2 linked regions of the Tamandua tetradactyla genome follow. The protein of the gene in region 1 purifies or fractionates together with the protein of each later gene. This does not show direct contact. Links are inferred from orthologs where the notes say so. Each region holds a gene or a part of one and is shown on either strand. Other genes may lie near its edges.

Region 1 (7,584 bases):
ACACTTAGTTAAAATTATTATAAGAGACCAAAATGCCTAAGTCTCTATTACTAATGATCAATTAATGCCACACGTTTCTAGAACAGATAAACATTCAGGCATAAAACGTAGTAGGTTCAAGCTATTCTTTAACCTGAAACTGCTGTCTCAAACTAGTCCAACAGGATCTTCAGATGCTCTTTTGACACAATTAAGTGACCTTTACCTGGTCTCACTGAACCTGCTATTTATTACCTGGGTGCTAACACACCTTTTCAAGTTTAGGAATGACCTCAATGTCCTACTAGTGCGAGAATTAACTTTTCCACCAAGGGATTTCCCTAAACCCCCAAGACCAGTCAACATCTTCCTGTCTACTACAGCAGGCCGTGGTTCTCACATCAAATAGCTGTACTGAATTTGCATATTTTAATAAAACCTCAACTAGTCATATTAATTAAGTTGAGAGCCAGTCAATCCAAATCATAAAATATCTCCGAGAGGCTTTTCTCCCTGATCCACCCTTTCACATCTTTTTTGACAGTGCTGGGTTCTCCTCCTTCTTCCTGCCTCCAGCACCCGGTGGAATGCCTGGCAGAGGGGCAGCTCTTCAGAGCATTTGCTGAAATGGTCTAAACAAAATGAGCACTATGGGAACTCTAGAGGATAGCATCTAATAAGTCAGAAGAGTCGTCGCTATTCCAGTATTGCTCAAAAGATAAACAGACACTCCTGGAATGTCTGAGCATGCTTTAATATGTTGCTCCTTTGATATTCTCAATATTCTCCCTGACTTCTTTGTATACTAATTGGTAATACATTGTTAGAAACAATTTGCTAACTACAGGTAAAGTTCAGCCTTGTGTCTTTCCTTCCATAGCATCAGAAGGTCTAATTTAATAGGTGTAACAGTGAAGTTCAACAAATAAAAATGAATTATTTAGGGTGGGCCACAGTGGCTCAGTGGCAGAGATCTCGCCTGCCATGGCTGACACCTGGGTTAGATTCCCAGTGCCCATGAAAAAAAAAAAAAAAGCAATAATTTAACAAAGGAACCTAAAATTCAAGAATGATTCTGCCCTGCCTAGAAAGATGCTATCTCTGGCTCCATACCTTTAATCTGGCCTCCACAGAGGCCTTTTTCCGAGCTTCTCTGCGGCGGTACTGCTCCACTTTGTCCAGCTGGTCAGGGCGCTGAAGCACCTGAGCCACCCTTTGGACTGCAGTTGCAATGGGTTCCCGGTCTGTCTCCTCCATGGTCAAAGAGCAGGCAAAATTTCCACCCCTGTCATACTAGAGGTGTCCTTTGTGTGTGGCAGGAGAGAAAGATATGTTAGGAAAGTAAAGATGTTAGGTACAAAATGTATCTCCACTCCCCATTCCAGTCAGTTGGTCATAATGTGGCTATGAGGAGAGTGTTTGAGATCATTCATCCAATACATTAGAAAGAAAGCTCAACTAGGATGATGAACTCCTTAACAAGAAAACAAACCTTATGGGAGAAGCAGCAACATTTCACAGGCATGAGAGATGTAAACATACGCAGACATTTACATGTGGAGCCTAAACCACTTATCATGTCAGAATGCCAGTTTCTAAGCACTTCTCTTCCCCTAAATAGGGCCAATTTGCATTTCTTAAGCCTTTATGCTACCCTTAGCCACACTGGCATGGCAGCTCTGCCAGGACACCTTAGTGACAACAGGTGCACACAGGTGCCAGCACATACTTCCACCACCCCAGCTGAGTTCCAATGTAAGTGCTGTGATTCCCCTCAAAACCTACTGTGAGCTGGGGTTACCCAAGTTCTATCACCTACATACAAACATAGACCTAGAGAACAAGGGTGAGAGGGCAGAGGACAATGTCCTCCTCTGCTCACGAGGCAACAAGGTATAGTGTACAGAGTGCACACATGCTCAGATTCCAAGCAACCTGCCTTCAAATCCTAGTTCCACTATGTCACAGTCACTGGGTTGCAAAGGGATAGCTACCTGGTAAGGATGATAGCTACCTGGTAAGGATCTGGCCAAAAAGCAGTCAATAAGTATTAGATCCAATTGACTTTGACTGTTATCAATTTTTTTAAAGATATGAAAAAGATTCACCTTCTCCGTGAATTTTTCACTATTCATTCCCATTTGCTTTCACAAAAACTCTGAAATGTAGGATGGTTGTTCATCACGTGTTATATAATTCCACCCTGTTCGTACATATCACTCTTGTCACTTTTCCCTTTCAATTACAACTATACTGCAACCACCATCTTTCCTTTTTCTTTACTTCCCCTGATAATAAAATCACTCATACCAATGTAAAAAGTCTGGACAGGACAAAAAAGTACAAAGCAGCAATCATCCTTAAATCCTACCATCTCGAGGCCACCACTTTTAATAGGGTTTATTTCCAGTCTTTTTTTTCCCTTTGCATTTCTTTACAAGTTGAGATTATATTGCGAATACAATTTTGCCATGCTTTTTTGTTCTTGTTGTGTTGTGACATGTTATCATCAGCATTTCCGCTGACACTAAAACCTGTAGGATTTCCATCACAAGGGTGGATAATCGGAGAAAGGGCACCCAGCCGCCCCAGGCAGGTGCACATGGCCTACCTGGCCCCATCTCGAGGCGGGCCGGCCCGCCGAGCTCGCGCGCTATCTCCTCTGGGGGACAGGCGGGGCCGTGGGGGAGGAAGACGCTACCAGGACTGGGCTGGCCCTGGCAGCAGAATCCAGGACGTCCAGCCCTGAACTGCAAAGCAGACCGAGACCACGCTCGCTCGGAAACGGCTCCAATCGCAGCCTGAAGACAGCACGATTTCGGCCACGGGTAGCGCGCGGAGCCACCGCCCTCAACACTGACAGGGTCTGACCCAACTCCCGGCCGTCCAACCCGCGGCTCCCCGCAGCCGCCGCCCGCCCCGCCCGAGCCGAGCGACTCCCGGCCCCGCTGCAGACCCCCACCAGCGACCCCGGCCCGCCGCTCCTCACCGCCGCGCAGCCGCCGCCGCCCGCGCCCCGCCGGAAGTAGGCGGCCGCTACTTCCGCTACCGGCGGCGCGGCCGGAAGGGCGGCTCCGGGGCTGTGAGAACAGAACTGGGCATGTCCTCGCCCCGCGGGCCACGTGACTGCCTGCATGGGGGTCCTTGCCCCACAGACCGGGGAGACGTCAGGACGGGGTCCCCGGCCCAAGGCGGCGAAGATCTGATAGAGCTGACCCTGCCTGAGCAACTCCTCTGACCCTCTGACCCAGGCCCTGCCTCTGCCTCTCCGCTTGTCTGCCAGGCTGACCTCTTGGCTCTTGGGCTTTGCAGCCGCTTTCCCCTCCGCCGGAAACCTCCCCGCCCCCACCCCCTTCTCAGGGCTCACCCTCACCAAACTCGGGCTCCGCCGCATTTCCTCTCTATAACCCTTGACCTGCCTATGTGAAAGAGTCGCTGTACCTCTCTTCCCCTGTTTTATGTTTTCTTTACCAGTTTCACTACTAACACTGTACCGTGTTCATTTGTTTACAGTCTGTCTTCCCCACGGAATGTGCTGGGGGTCCTGTCTTGTGTGCTAAATAAACCCCAGGAACTACCCAGACCAGGCAGCCGTCTGTAAATGAAGGAATGGAACTGTGGAACACCCAGTGACCTGTCAGTTACACCTGACTGTCATGATTGATGCACACAGAAAACTCAGTTACTCGGTGAGCTGCCTTTTGTAGACCCTTCAATCAAAAATGCGTCAAACTCAGCCCCTCAAGGACCACAGAGAGGTCAGAAATTGATGTGAGAACAACCGCCGTGGGATTGGTTGTCACAGAATGCGGAGAGCAAGGGGGGTAAGTAGCATCTGAGGTCTGTGGTTCTGGCTGGCCATGGAAACCAAGCTGCGTGAATCTTGGGATAAGAGAAGGGGTGTTCAGGAGAGGAGTCAAGGGGGAGCAGGAGAAGGGCACCCTAGCTTTGGGAAACTGCTGAATGGGTCATGTAGAGCATGTGAAATGTGGCAGAACGTGATCTGGAAAGGAACATTTGCACCCCACTGCAGAGCTCTGTGTCATGTAAGACTTTTGCATGTCTGCAGGGGAGCATCATAGGTTTGAGAAAGGTAACTAGCTGCAGGGCAGAGCATGAACTGAACAGGAGGTGGCATGAACCGAGGACTCAGTTCGTCTGCCTAGTCATGCAAGCCACATTCTTGAAGTGCTTGCTGGGAATCCATTGCTGGCGTCTTCTGCAGAGGCTGAAAGGCTTAGATCTGATGCCAAGCCCAGGGCAGGCACACAATATGAGAAACACTGGCATTCTATGGGGGATTTGCTTGTGCTGGGACTAGTGCGTGGGATGTATGTGGAGGGCACTGGACCTGGATGTAGGGTCAGGGCACAGGAAGGCTTCATCAAGGCAGTGGCCAGGAGCAAATCACCTGGGATAAATGGCTGGGGCAGGTCTCAGGAACTGCCGAGTGGAGTGTGAGAAAAGGCATTTCAAAGGGCAAGGCCGTGGAGGGTCAGGCCTGTTTGCAACCCTGGAAGCGGTATTTGAAATGATGGCAACCCGCAGTGGCAGACCCCTGAGTTTTACTCAATGGAGGAGTTACCCGACCTGACCTGCACTTCACCTGAGTGAGTAGGAATCCTGTTGGACTAAGCCACTAAGAGTTCAGGGTTCGTCTGTTGTGGCAGCAGGCATTGCTTACCTTAACAAACTGCCGGAAAAGGAAATTTTTCAATATTTTCCCAACTGCCACCTGAAAGTCAGCCATGAGAGTGGAAATCCGGAGCGGGGTGAGAGCCAGACAGGAAGGAAGATGGGGGTAGCGAGGAGGGGAACAGCTCTAGGTGTGTGGGCAGGGAAATGGGGTGCAGCAGCCTCCCCTGAGGGGCCCCAAATAAGGTGGCCAGGAACAACCTGCCTGTCACGTGACCACTGTGAAGGCCACAGCTGACTATGTGCAGGACTACAGCCCCACACCCTTAGCTCACCACTCCACATCAGCACGCTCTGTGCAAGAGGACAGAACCTGCTTCTTAATTTACACAATACAGCAGTAGGTTCAGCAATGAAGATGTGCAAAGAGAAAGTTGAAATTATGAAATTATAAAACCAATAGGAAAAATGCCAAAATTACCAAAGCTTTCAGAACTGTTACTTCAAAAACAAACAAACAAAGCACAACAACAAAAGTCAGCACTTGAAATAAAGACTCATCTGTCAATATCTGGCAGTGTGTTTGAATGTAGCACTCCCTAATAGCTTCACCAATTAATCACACTGCTTAGGGAATAGGATGCTTTATTTAAAAGCTTTAATTTTTCCCCTCCAAACTCAAAAACAAAATCTTAAAAATCTTTCTTGAGTTATGATTTTAGCAGACAGATAACTGAAAAGATTTCTTGAAAACATAGATGGATAAATACATTGGATAAATGTAACATCCTTTTAAATGCATCATTGAGTTCACCAGAGACTACAGGAGATGAGGAGGGTGCACAAACAAAGGAGGAAGAGGAAGTGAGTAGCAGAGATCTCCGCTGCCAGGCAGGGAGGTTTGCTGGGGAGGGTGAATGGTTTAGGGGCTTGGTTTTTTTATACTCCTGCAGAACAGAAGATGAGGCTAAGATTGAGCACATATGAAGCCAGTATACTCATAAGGGTGCACCCTCCATGAAAGGTAACCCGGGAAAAACAAAACCAGCTTCCCCTTGGGAGAACACCAGGAAGTTTGTGTAACTCTGTCTAGTGGAGAAGCCTGCCCTTCCCATGCCCCCTCCCCCTAAGAAGTCATGGCTCTTATTCTGCTCTTTACTTAAATTAAATGATTCAGATTAATCCTGCAGCTCCCCGGCCTGGAAATGATTGCTGAAAGTCATCCATTAGCAGAAGCAAACGCTGGAACATTTCTAGAGAGCCACCCCTGCACCTTGACGGGATCTGATGCAAAGCCATTTCTGAAGATCCACCCCTCGGCTTTGTCCTCCCTGAAAAAGCTCTACCACAATACAAACTTATGAAACACACGAGGGGATACCTGTGAATGAGCAGCTTGCCATTCTACTATGAATGGGATAAACTTAAAAAGCAGGATTAGACCCTGAGACGGAAGAGGAAATAATTGACTTGGAGACGTGTCTTAGGAAATTGCCCAGAAGGTAGCACCCTGCCATCTCTGTTGACCTCCACATGCATGCCAGCTAAATTCACTCAAGAAGTAGGGTAACATAAAGATATGCTCAGGCAGACTGAGAGTTTACCAAACTGGCAAGATCAGAACGTTTGTGCTTTTTGTGATTACTAAAATAACATTTAATGATATAGATCAGGAAGAAGGCAATGGAACTGAGAAAGGAGTGAGATATAGGAAGAAATAATGAACAAATAAATTGGTAAAATGTGGCTTAATCTAAGCAAATGTCAACTCGAAGATGAGGGTGGTAAATTAAGTGGAAAAAGAAAGTAGCGTTAGGATCCCATCCTAAAGCTGTGTCTCTTGATCACGCCATGTGTCCCCCAGGCGGGCAGAGGCAGCTGCTGCACACAGCCCCTTGCCCACCCCAGGAGCAGCTTCCCTGGCTTCCCTGGCCCCAGGCATGTGGCACCTCCAACCCTGAGGGCCACCCTCGCTTCCCTTCAGCCGTTTGCCAGTCCCAGACCCAAGAGCTTGCCAGAAAATGGGAGGGTGCACGGAGGGTCTCCACAACCACTGCCTTCTCTGTGACCAAGAATAAAGTGAGAGTGCAAGGATTTAAAACAACGCAGGGGATAATGTCAAAGGGGAGTGAGGTAGATGGCCTTAAAGCATGCTAAGGTGGTTGTCACGTTCTGGAGGAGAATAGAGACCTTGGTTAATTTTCAACTTAAACTTTGTTAAATAAGAATGTCAAGGATAACCACTAAGGGAATAGGATCTGTACTGCGTTAGTTTGCACGCTGCCAGAATGCGATATGCCAGAGCTGGAATGGATTTTTAAGAAGAGGAATTTAGTAAGTTAGAAGGTTACAGTTCTAAGAAAGTGAAAGTGTCCAAGTTAAGGCACCAACAAGAGGTCATCTTCACTTAGGAAAGGCTGATGGGTCCGGAGCCCCTCTGTCAGCCAGGTAGTACGTGGCTGGCACCTTCTGGTCCCTTGCTCCTGGGCTCAGTTGCCTTCAGCCTCTTCCTGTGGAGGCTCCTCACTTTGCTTCTCCAGGGCTGGCCTTCATCTCTTGACTTCCCTTGGCTCTCTCCAGGCTTGGGCTTTCTTAATTTCTTATGGTGGTATCTGCTGGGCTCCAAACATCAGTGTCTCTATTTTCTGAAGCTACTGTTCTTCCCGTGTCCGCATCTGTGTCAGCTCTGCTGTGAAGTTTCTGTCAGTTCTGAGGCTTCTGTCATTTCTGAGGTTTCTTCTAAATGTTTCCTCTTTTAAAGGATTCCAGTAACCTAATGAAGACCCACCTGGAATGGATGGGGTCACATCTCCATCTAATCAAAAGTTAATACTCACAATTGGGTGTGTCACATCTCCATGGAGATAATTTAATCACGATGGTCCAGCCTACATTATTAAATCAGGATTAAAAGAAATGGCTGCCTCCACAGATGGAATCAAGATTAGAATATGGCTTTTCTTGGGTACA
Region 2 (7,765 bases), on another chromosome or scaffold:
GGTTTAATAATCTTATGTATTCTCCTTCTCCATCCCATCCCTGCACCCAAGTTCTAGTACAGAGCTCTGCACACTACGAATGAAACTTGGGAGTGACCCTTGAGAAGAAAATGCTCTGCAGTCCCTGCCATCCCAGTCTCTGAGACACAGGCTCCCTCCCACCAGCTGTTTATACCAGGTAGAGCTGGTGGGTCCCCACTGGGTTATAGGAGCGCCAAGGTATCAATCCCATCAGCCTTCAAGGCAGCCAGGTGGGCCCTTGGGTGGCCGGGGACCACCGTCTGGTTTCCAGTTTGTCCCCAGGTGCCACACAAATATTCTCATTTCTGATGTATGCCATGATGGGGGAAAAGCCAGGAAGCACTGCTCTCAGCAAAAGTTTTTGGTCAGGAGAAAAGACAGTTTCTCATCTCTGTTCTTCAGCTCATGCCTTCTTTTGGGCAAGCCACACACCTCAGAGTGAGACCTGTAGTGTCACCAGAAAGGTACACCAGGAGACTGTGTTCCAGATGGCCCCTCCCCTAATACTCTTACTCTCTTGGCCCCACTCACCTTCTTGGGTCTCGGGGCCTCCTCTCCCACCTTTCCTCTGGTCTCCAGCCTCTCATTCTCTCAACACAGAGTAAATCTCACTTCTAACCCTTCTCCCACCCTGCTCTGGTGTCCTAATGACCCCAATACTTAGACGCAAAGACATCACACAAAATATAAACACAAAACCGCAAATGCATTTATAAAAACTAAATGTAAAATTTATATCATATATACTTTAAACAAATTACAAAAACAGAATAAAAATGTAAGCCTATAATTTCCGAGACAGAGATCTTAGTGTCTGGAGAATCTGAATTCTACTAGATGTTTTTGTTTATTATACTGTATACTCTTTTAAGCTGGCCAGGTATTTCCTTATGAGACCAGGGAGGGATGTTTCCCAGCCCTCTCCCTTTACTCTGCTGGCCCCTTACCACTTTGTTGAGCTCTGGGCTGTCCGGGCTGTTGTCCTGGAAATACTCCACAGCCTTCTGGATCTTGGCCATGCTTCCCAGGTACTCCTCCAGCCTACCTGTGGGGCTGGGAAGAAAAGGAGCCTGATCATGCTGGGGAGCAGTGGAGGGGAAGGATTAGGCCATGGTGTTTGGAAGAAGAAGAAGAGAATTAACACTAGACCTAAATACATCCTACCCCTCCCTTCTGAGGCCCAGAGCTGGTGGTCCAGGAGGCATTAGGGATGTGGCCCTCCGGCCCTGGCTCACCCCTCCCTGATGATCTTCTCGGTGTCACTGGCCACATGGTAGTAGCTGATGACATGATCTAGGCAGGACAGGGTCTTCTCCACATTCTCCTGCAGCCGCTGCAGATTCTCTGTCTGCTTGTGCACAGGGATGATGGAGTTCTCCAGCTTCATAAGGCGGCTCTCAAAGGATGACAGGATAGACACCTGTTGGGAGAAAGTCTCTGCTCTAGGGTGGTCCCAGTTCTGCTTCCTTCTCATCAGCAGGTCTTTGGCAATTCCTGCCTTTTCTCTTGTTTTCTAGACAATAAGCTCCAAGAAGGAGGGACAGGGCCTACCTGTTCACTCCTGCCTCCCCAACATCTAGCATAGGCCTGGCAATTAAGAGGTGGTCCCCCGCAAATTGGTCAGTTTGAAGGTAAGCTAAGTATCAAGTTAATTCCTAAGATAATCATTCCAGGATGACTTCTCTTCTACCCTTTGAAGCCAAATCTCAACTTCTGGTCTCTTTGAAGTTTTCCTAGACTGAACAGGAAGTTGTTTCATACAGAATAGCCTCAAAGCATTTGCTGGCACCTTCAAAATCCTGTCTCTAAAGGGGGAATCTCATTATGCAAGAAATAGGACTTCATCACTGTGTTACCGAATGCAAATCCGTTTGTTTCTATTCAACTTCTACCCGAACGATCTCAGCTAGGAGTAAACAAGGAAGCGAATATTTATTGAGCACAATTGTATACCAGGCACTGTGCAAGATGCATCCATTCATATGACCTTCGCAGTCACGTTGAGAGGTTGACATTGTCACTGTTTTAGTACACAAGTCAACTACAGCTCAGAGTCAACTGCCTGGAATCACACAACTGTGTGGAGTAAGCGCTCCTTCTACCCCTAAAGTCCTCTGGGGGTGAAGGCTGAGTCTTCTATGCTCTCAGTAATTTCAAATCTCAAAGTAATCTCAAAATGCCACCCCTACCGGGACAGTCTTGAGTTAAGAATGACCCAGGACCAGGACTACTCAGTCTCACTAAATGTGGCAAGAGAAAAGGAAGAATGGAGAGCCTAGACAGAAAGCAGAAAGTTCAAGTCAGCGGGGGCTGCCGGGTCCTCAGAGATGGGGCGGAAATTGGAGGAGGGGCGGGAGGTAAGAGACACCATATCGTTGCTAGAGAAACCCATCACTATCCACTCCAAACCAGGCCCTCGGTACCCGGCACCTCCCGTAGCAAGGCTCCCCTCCGCCCCTCCCGGCTGAACACTTTCTCACCATGTTCTTGGTGAGCTGGTCGCTCTTCTCCAGGCTGTCTCTGATGAAGGACAGCGTCTCCTCCTCCTACGGGGAGCGGAGGGAAGGACATCACCAGAGGCCGGAGGCTAAGGGAGATTCCTGCGTGCTAAGGGAGATTACTGCGTCCTCGGACCCCCAGCCTCGCCCCTCATCTGAAACCCATCTCCTCACACCCCCTCCCACCCGCGCCTCCTCCCGGCGTAGGGGCCCGGCCCGGATCTCGGCCCCTTTCCCTCCACCTCCTCCCCCGATTCCCCACCATCGCCCACCTGCTTCAGTTTGTCCTCGATCTCCCGCCGCCGAGCGGACGCCTCCTGCGGGGGGATCATCGCTCCCAACCCTGCGGCTCCCGGCTCCTCAGTATCTTTCCCAACAGTCCCACGGGGGTCGCGTCCCTGCCACACCCACTTCCGTCTTTAGTCCCGCCCCGGCACCGCGCCGGTGCTGCCATGTTGGGAGAGGCTGGTGGCAATGCGCCTGCGCGAGGCTCAGTAACGGGCCAAGGCGAGCGGCCATCTTGGGTGTGTCTGGGAAGGGTGGCGTTCCTCCAGCGCAGCCCTTTCCCCCTGGTGTGGGTTCCCTCCCCCTGCGGAGAAGGTACTCGACCGATGTCATTCTGCCCGTGGCTGCAGGGCGGTCTCGGCTTGTTTACCGGTTGGAAGACTGACTTTTTTTTTTTTTTTTTTTTTGCATGGGCAGGCACCAGGAATCGAACCCAGGTCTCCAGCATGGCAGGCGAGAACTCCGCCACTGTGCCATTTGACAAATGGCCGCTGGGTCCATGCTCCAGCACTGAGTGCATACGGAGTGCACCACAAGACAGGCGCCCAATATGTGCCCGTTTAGCGAAACCGGGGCTGGTGTGTGCGGCCCTCCGTTAAGGATAAAGCATATGGAGCAGGCCCTGTGTGCAGGACCCAGGCCCGGGGCCGGACAGGACACTTGCCCTTGGTCCTAGGAGGGTGCCCAACCATAGCTGGCCTTGTGCCGGGGTCAGCCGAGTACACGGGGCTGGCAGGATTCTCAGAGCATCTCTCTTGGGGCCCCGGTGCCTGTCCTCCAGGCCCCACGTGTGGGGAGAGAGAGCTGTGAGGTTTTATTTTGGGGGGGCTGAGTGGCTTCTGCTGAGAACTTACCTCGGCCAGGAGAGGCCACAGGAGGAAGGGGGGCAGGACCGGAAGCTGTCAGGGATTCAGGCCTCAGCACATCATGGCCAGCTAGAAAGAGACTGAGCCTTGCCTGCAGGTGTTGGGATAGGCAGTGAGCATGTCTCAAGGGGCTTTGGGGAAATCAGATGGGCTTAGGGGCTGGCATGACTGTTCTCCAGGTGGTCCCAGTTGGTCTAACCTCAGCTCCAGGGGCGAGGGTCAAGAGATGCCCTTGGAGGGAGTCTCCTGGGTGTTCTGGGTTCCCAAGGATTTTCGGCAGGACCCAGCTCTTCTGCTCACTTAGTGCCCGTCCTTCCTCTGTCACTTCCCTGCCCATCTAACTCTGGCCTCAGCCCTTCGAGAAATAAATGGATCCTCTGTGGATCAGGCATCCAGGCACAAGAAACAGGCATGTGCCAGTGGGTGACAGGGTTTGGGGCGCCAAAGCCATAAAGGTTCTAAGTCACCCCCAGAACCCAATTAATTACAGTGGAGGAAGGAATGAACCTAGGGAGGGACTGGGCAACTCTTCCACTGGGGTGGAAGGACAAATTTCAGACTTTGCGAAGTTTGTAGGTGGCGATGAAGGAAATAGCCAGAGGGCAAAGCCCTGTTGCAGGTGGGGGAGATGAGAAGGCTGAGTCATTATGTAAGGGTACTTGGGATGACTGCTCTGACTTAGGCTGGTGTAGTCCTGAGAACCAAGTAGGGGAAAAGTTTAAACTGTTAGGTTTAAATACAGTAGCAGACGCGAGGGGCAGAGGGCTACAGTGCTACAGGGAAAAGAGCTTTGGCATCCGATGGCCCAACCCTGAGGGTCTCTGCCAGCACTTAGCCTCTCTGAGCCTCTGAACAGCCTAGAGGATGCTCCAGAAAAGATATAAATAAAATCTTGTCCTCTAGGTCTTCGGAAGGGTATCCTGTATGATTGTGAACAAAGTTTGTATACTGTCATTGCACTTTAGTAAATAAACTACATATGTGTGTGCTCTTCTGTATTTTCTCGAATTTCCTTCAATGTTTAAGTGTAATCTGGTTGCCGACTACCATTTACTGAGAGCCCCCTGTATGTGACCTGAACATGACCACCCTTAGACATAAACCTATATATCGGAGACATTCTGAGAAGTGGAATTGCTAAATCCAAATGTATATACTTCAAAAATCTATCGATATCTACAAATTGCCATTCAAAATAGTTGAAAAATAGTTAATACCCCAACAGGAATGTATAATAAATATGCCCATTTCTGCACACTTTTGCCAATCTGATAAGTGAAAAACAGTATCCCATATTTCTGCTTCTTCAATTAAAAATATGGTTGAGCATCTTTGTTATTGACTGTATTTATTTGTCTATAAACTGCCTGTTTAATGTCCTTTGCCCATTTTATATTACGATGTCATATTTTCTTAGTGATTTTTCAGAACTCTGTATATATTAAAAAATTAGCCTTACCCCTGGAGAGAGGGAGGGAAGGATCAGGTGTGACGGTGGGGTTATGCGGAGAAGATAGGATTTAACAGATGAATATGAATCCTGCATCGTTAGGTTGATATCTCTTTTGGTCTGTGGTATTTTGGAACAGTTAGAGGTAAAAGCCTGGGATTGTGGAATTGTAACCCATGTCAGACTCTGAAGTATGTTCTGTGCTTTGAAATTTATAGCTTTTTTGTATGTGTGTTATTTTTCACAAAAAAAAAGAAGGAAAGGGAGTCAATTGTGATGATAAAAAAATATTTAAGCCCTCTAGCCTCCTATATTATGGAGAAGCTAAAGGGAAAAATAGGAGTGGATTGTTTGGTAGCCTGTGACAAATTCTGTCATCTCTCCTGTAACTACTTGTTGAAGAGTGCTTTAAAAATTATGGCTTTTTTTTTAAACATGGGCAGGCACCGGGAATCGAACCCAGGTCTCTGGCATGGCAGGTGAGAACTCTGCCACTGAGCCACCGTTGCTCATCTAAAAACTGTTGCTTTTTTATTTCTTTGCTTGGTATATATGTTGTACTATACAGTAAAAAAGTTAAAAATAAAAAATTAGCCTTTATCATTTATGTGGAAACATTTTCTTTATTTTCTTCTTATGTGTCTTACATTTTTTTCATTGCCGTTTTGCTCTACTAGAGTTTTGATTTCTTAACTTATTCATGTTTATCAGACATTTCCTTTCATAACTATTTGGTTTTGTGTCTTGCTTGAAAGGCTTATCCCAGTCTAAGCTTTTCATCTTATATTTTTTTAAGGTCTTGTTTTTTCTAGATTCTTTTTTTTTTTTTTTAATGTTTACATCATTGAGCCATCAGGGTTTTTTCTCAGACGGATAGCCAATTGTCCTAATACAATTTATTCACTAATTCGTTATTCAACCACTGGTTTGAAACGTGACCTCTATCACACAGTTAAGTCCCTCAGATATTTAGCCCTATTCTTGGTTATATTCTGTTCCACTGAGCTGCTTGTACTCATTCATTTCAGTCCCAGGGCCAAACCAGTTAAAGTAATGTAGCTTTATAATTTGATTCTACATTTAACCTTTGCGGGGGAGATGATCTTCTTCTTTCTTTATTCATTTTTTTTTTTTTTTTTTACTCTAGGAAAAAAAAAAACTTCCTGGACCTTCTCATTTGTTTACGTTTCTCCAGATGAATGTTAAAATCACTCTCACAACTGCAAACTGTGGCCTGAGCAAACTGACTTGAAATCGACTGAAATTCAGGCCTCACTCAGGGAAGCCTGCCCGCTAGAGGACTGGAGGCCAAGTGAAAGCCTGGAGGGGGCAGTGCTGGAGCCATGAAGTGGCAGGCAGGGAGAGGTGCCCATCTGCCAGGAAGAGCCTCACAGGCAAGGGCTGGAGCAGAGCTGCAGCTGGTGGAGGGCAGATGAAAGGGCAGGCGTGCGGCTGCCTCTTTGGCAGCTGAGTAACTGTCCTTGGGTTCTAAGACAAGAGCACAAGGAAAGGCAGCCCAGAGGGGCTGATGGTATCCTGTTAGGCATAAGGAAGTCCTCGGCCACCTTCTTAGGGGCTGTTGCCAACACCCAGCCTTGGTCTATACACACAGCAGGGCAGGTGCCGGATAGATTTATAATGAAAAAGTGAACAAGAGCTGAGGCCAGCAGGGTGAGGGACAATCTGGGGGCATGGTGGGGGGACCCCTGGGGTGCATGTCCCAGAGAGGGCAGGTGGGAGGAAGGAGGTCGGGGTGTACCTTTTTGTCTGTGAAAGCTGCTCTGTGCTCAGGGAGGGGGCTCTGAACTCCTGGGCAGCCGCTTCTTTGAGGCAGCCAGGACGTTGCTCGGCCCCTCCTGCTTCCTCTTGATGCAGATGTCTTCCTGGGCCCTGGGCCCTTTTCTGGTTGAACTTGAGGGCCGGCTTGTCCTTGGTGTGCTGCTCACAGGGGTCTTCTCGGATCACGTCTTGCACACTCGCAGTGGCGGCCCCTGTGTCTGGCTGGTTCTTGATCCCCTCTTGGCTCCTGTCAAGGGCCCCGGCTGTGGGGTCAAGCTGAGCCGTGGCTGGAATTAAAAAGCCATCTGCAGCTAGTTTAGGAGCCTAACCACCATTGCTTAGCAATGGCAGCCACAGCGGGCGGGGAACCCAGTCATGTAACGGGCGCACGCGCCGTCTCTGAGGTGAGACTCACAGCGACACACTCGTGATCTGCAGAAACACCCGAGCCACAAGCCACAGCAGACAAGAATCTGTATCCCTTCCTGCTCCTGTGTGGACAGGGACCAGCAACCCTGCCCTGCCACCCCCTTTCCTCATCTAACATGAGAGGCAGGGCGGCAGGCGGGATCCTGGTTTTGAGGGAGGAACTCTGCACACGTGCCCCCATGGAAATCAGTAACACGTGGCAACTGGATTCTGTTGAAATCCTGTGGGGCGCTATGGGTGGCACACCTTGGAGGAGAAAAAGCCCAGGTCAGACGGGCCCTTCTGCTCCCGCCCCTGCCACCTACGAGCTGCCAGGGAGGGCCCCTCTGAGTAACACACCACATGCACCGAAATCTCAGAGGATTTGGGTGAATTAAGTGGCATGACATATATAAACGGCCTGGCCCACAGTAGGTACTCAAGAGCGGTTAACCAAT

The links. Proteins that work in one complex are often made in the same cells at the same time.
Region 2: the proteins of EXOC3 (region 1) and EXOC7 purify together in Homo sapiens (affinity purification with mass spectrometry; 5 studies listed by BioGRID and IntAct, counting the BioPlex papers as one, with this or other methods). This does not show direct contact. The link is inferred for Tamandua tetradactyla from reciprocal best matches to the Homo sapiens genes EXOC3 and EXOC7.

Annotation. Positions count from the first base shown.
Region 1 is NC_135335.1:48,919,156-48,926,739, forward strand, and holds the start of EXOC3 (exocyst complex component 3), read right to left. Parts: upstream 3,018-7,584; 5' UTR 2,969-3,017; intron 1,284-2,968; 5' UTR 1,237-1,283; coding exon 1,093-1,236; intron 1-1,092. UniProt on the Homo sapiens protein: Component of the exocyst complex involved in the docking of exocytic vesicles with fusion sites on the plasma membrane.
Region 2 is NC_135332.1:16,546,681-16,554,445, forward strand, and holds the start of EXOC7 (exocyst complex component 7), read right to left. Parts: upstream 3,004-7,765; 5' UTR 2,852-3,003; coding exon 2,792-2,851; intron 2,568-2,791; coding exon 2,502-2,567; intron 1,442-2,501; coding exon 1,257-1,441; intron 1,075-1,256; coding exon 969-1,074; intron 1-968. Other genes in the region: uncharacterized protein LOC143686572, read right to left, coding at 6,509-6,608, 6,880-7,186. UniProt on the Homo sapiens protein: Component of the exocyst complex involved in the docking of exocytic vesicles with fusion sites on the plasma membrane.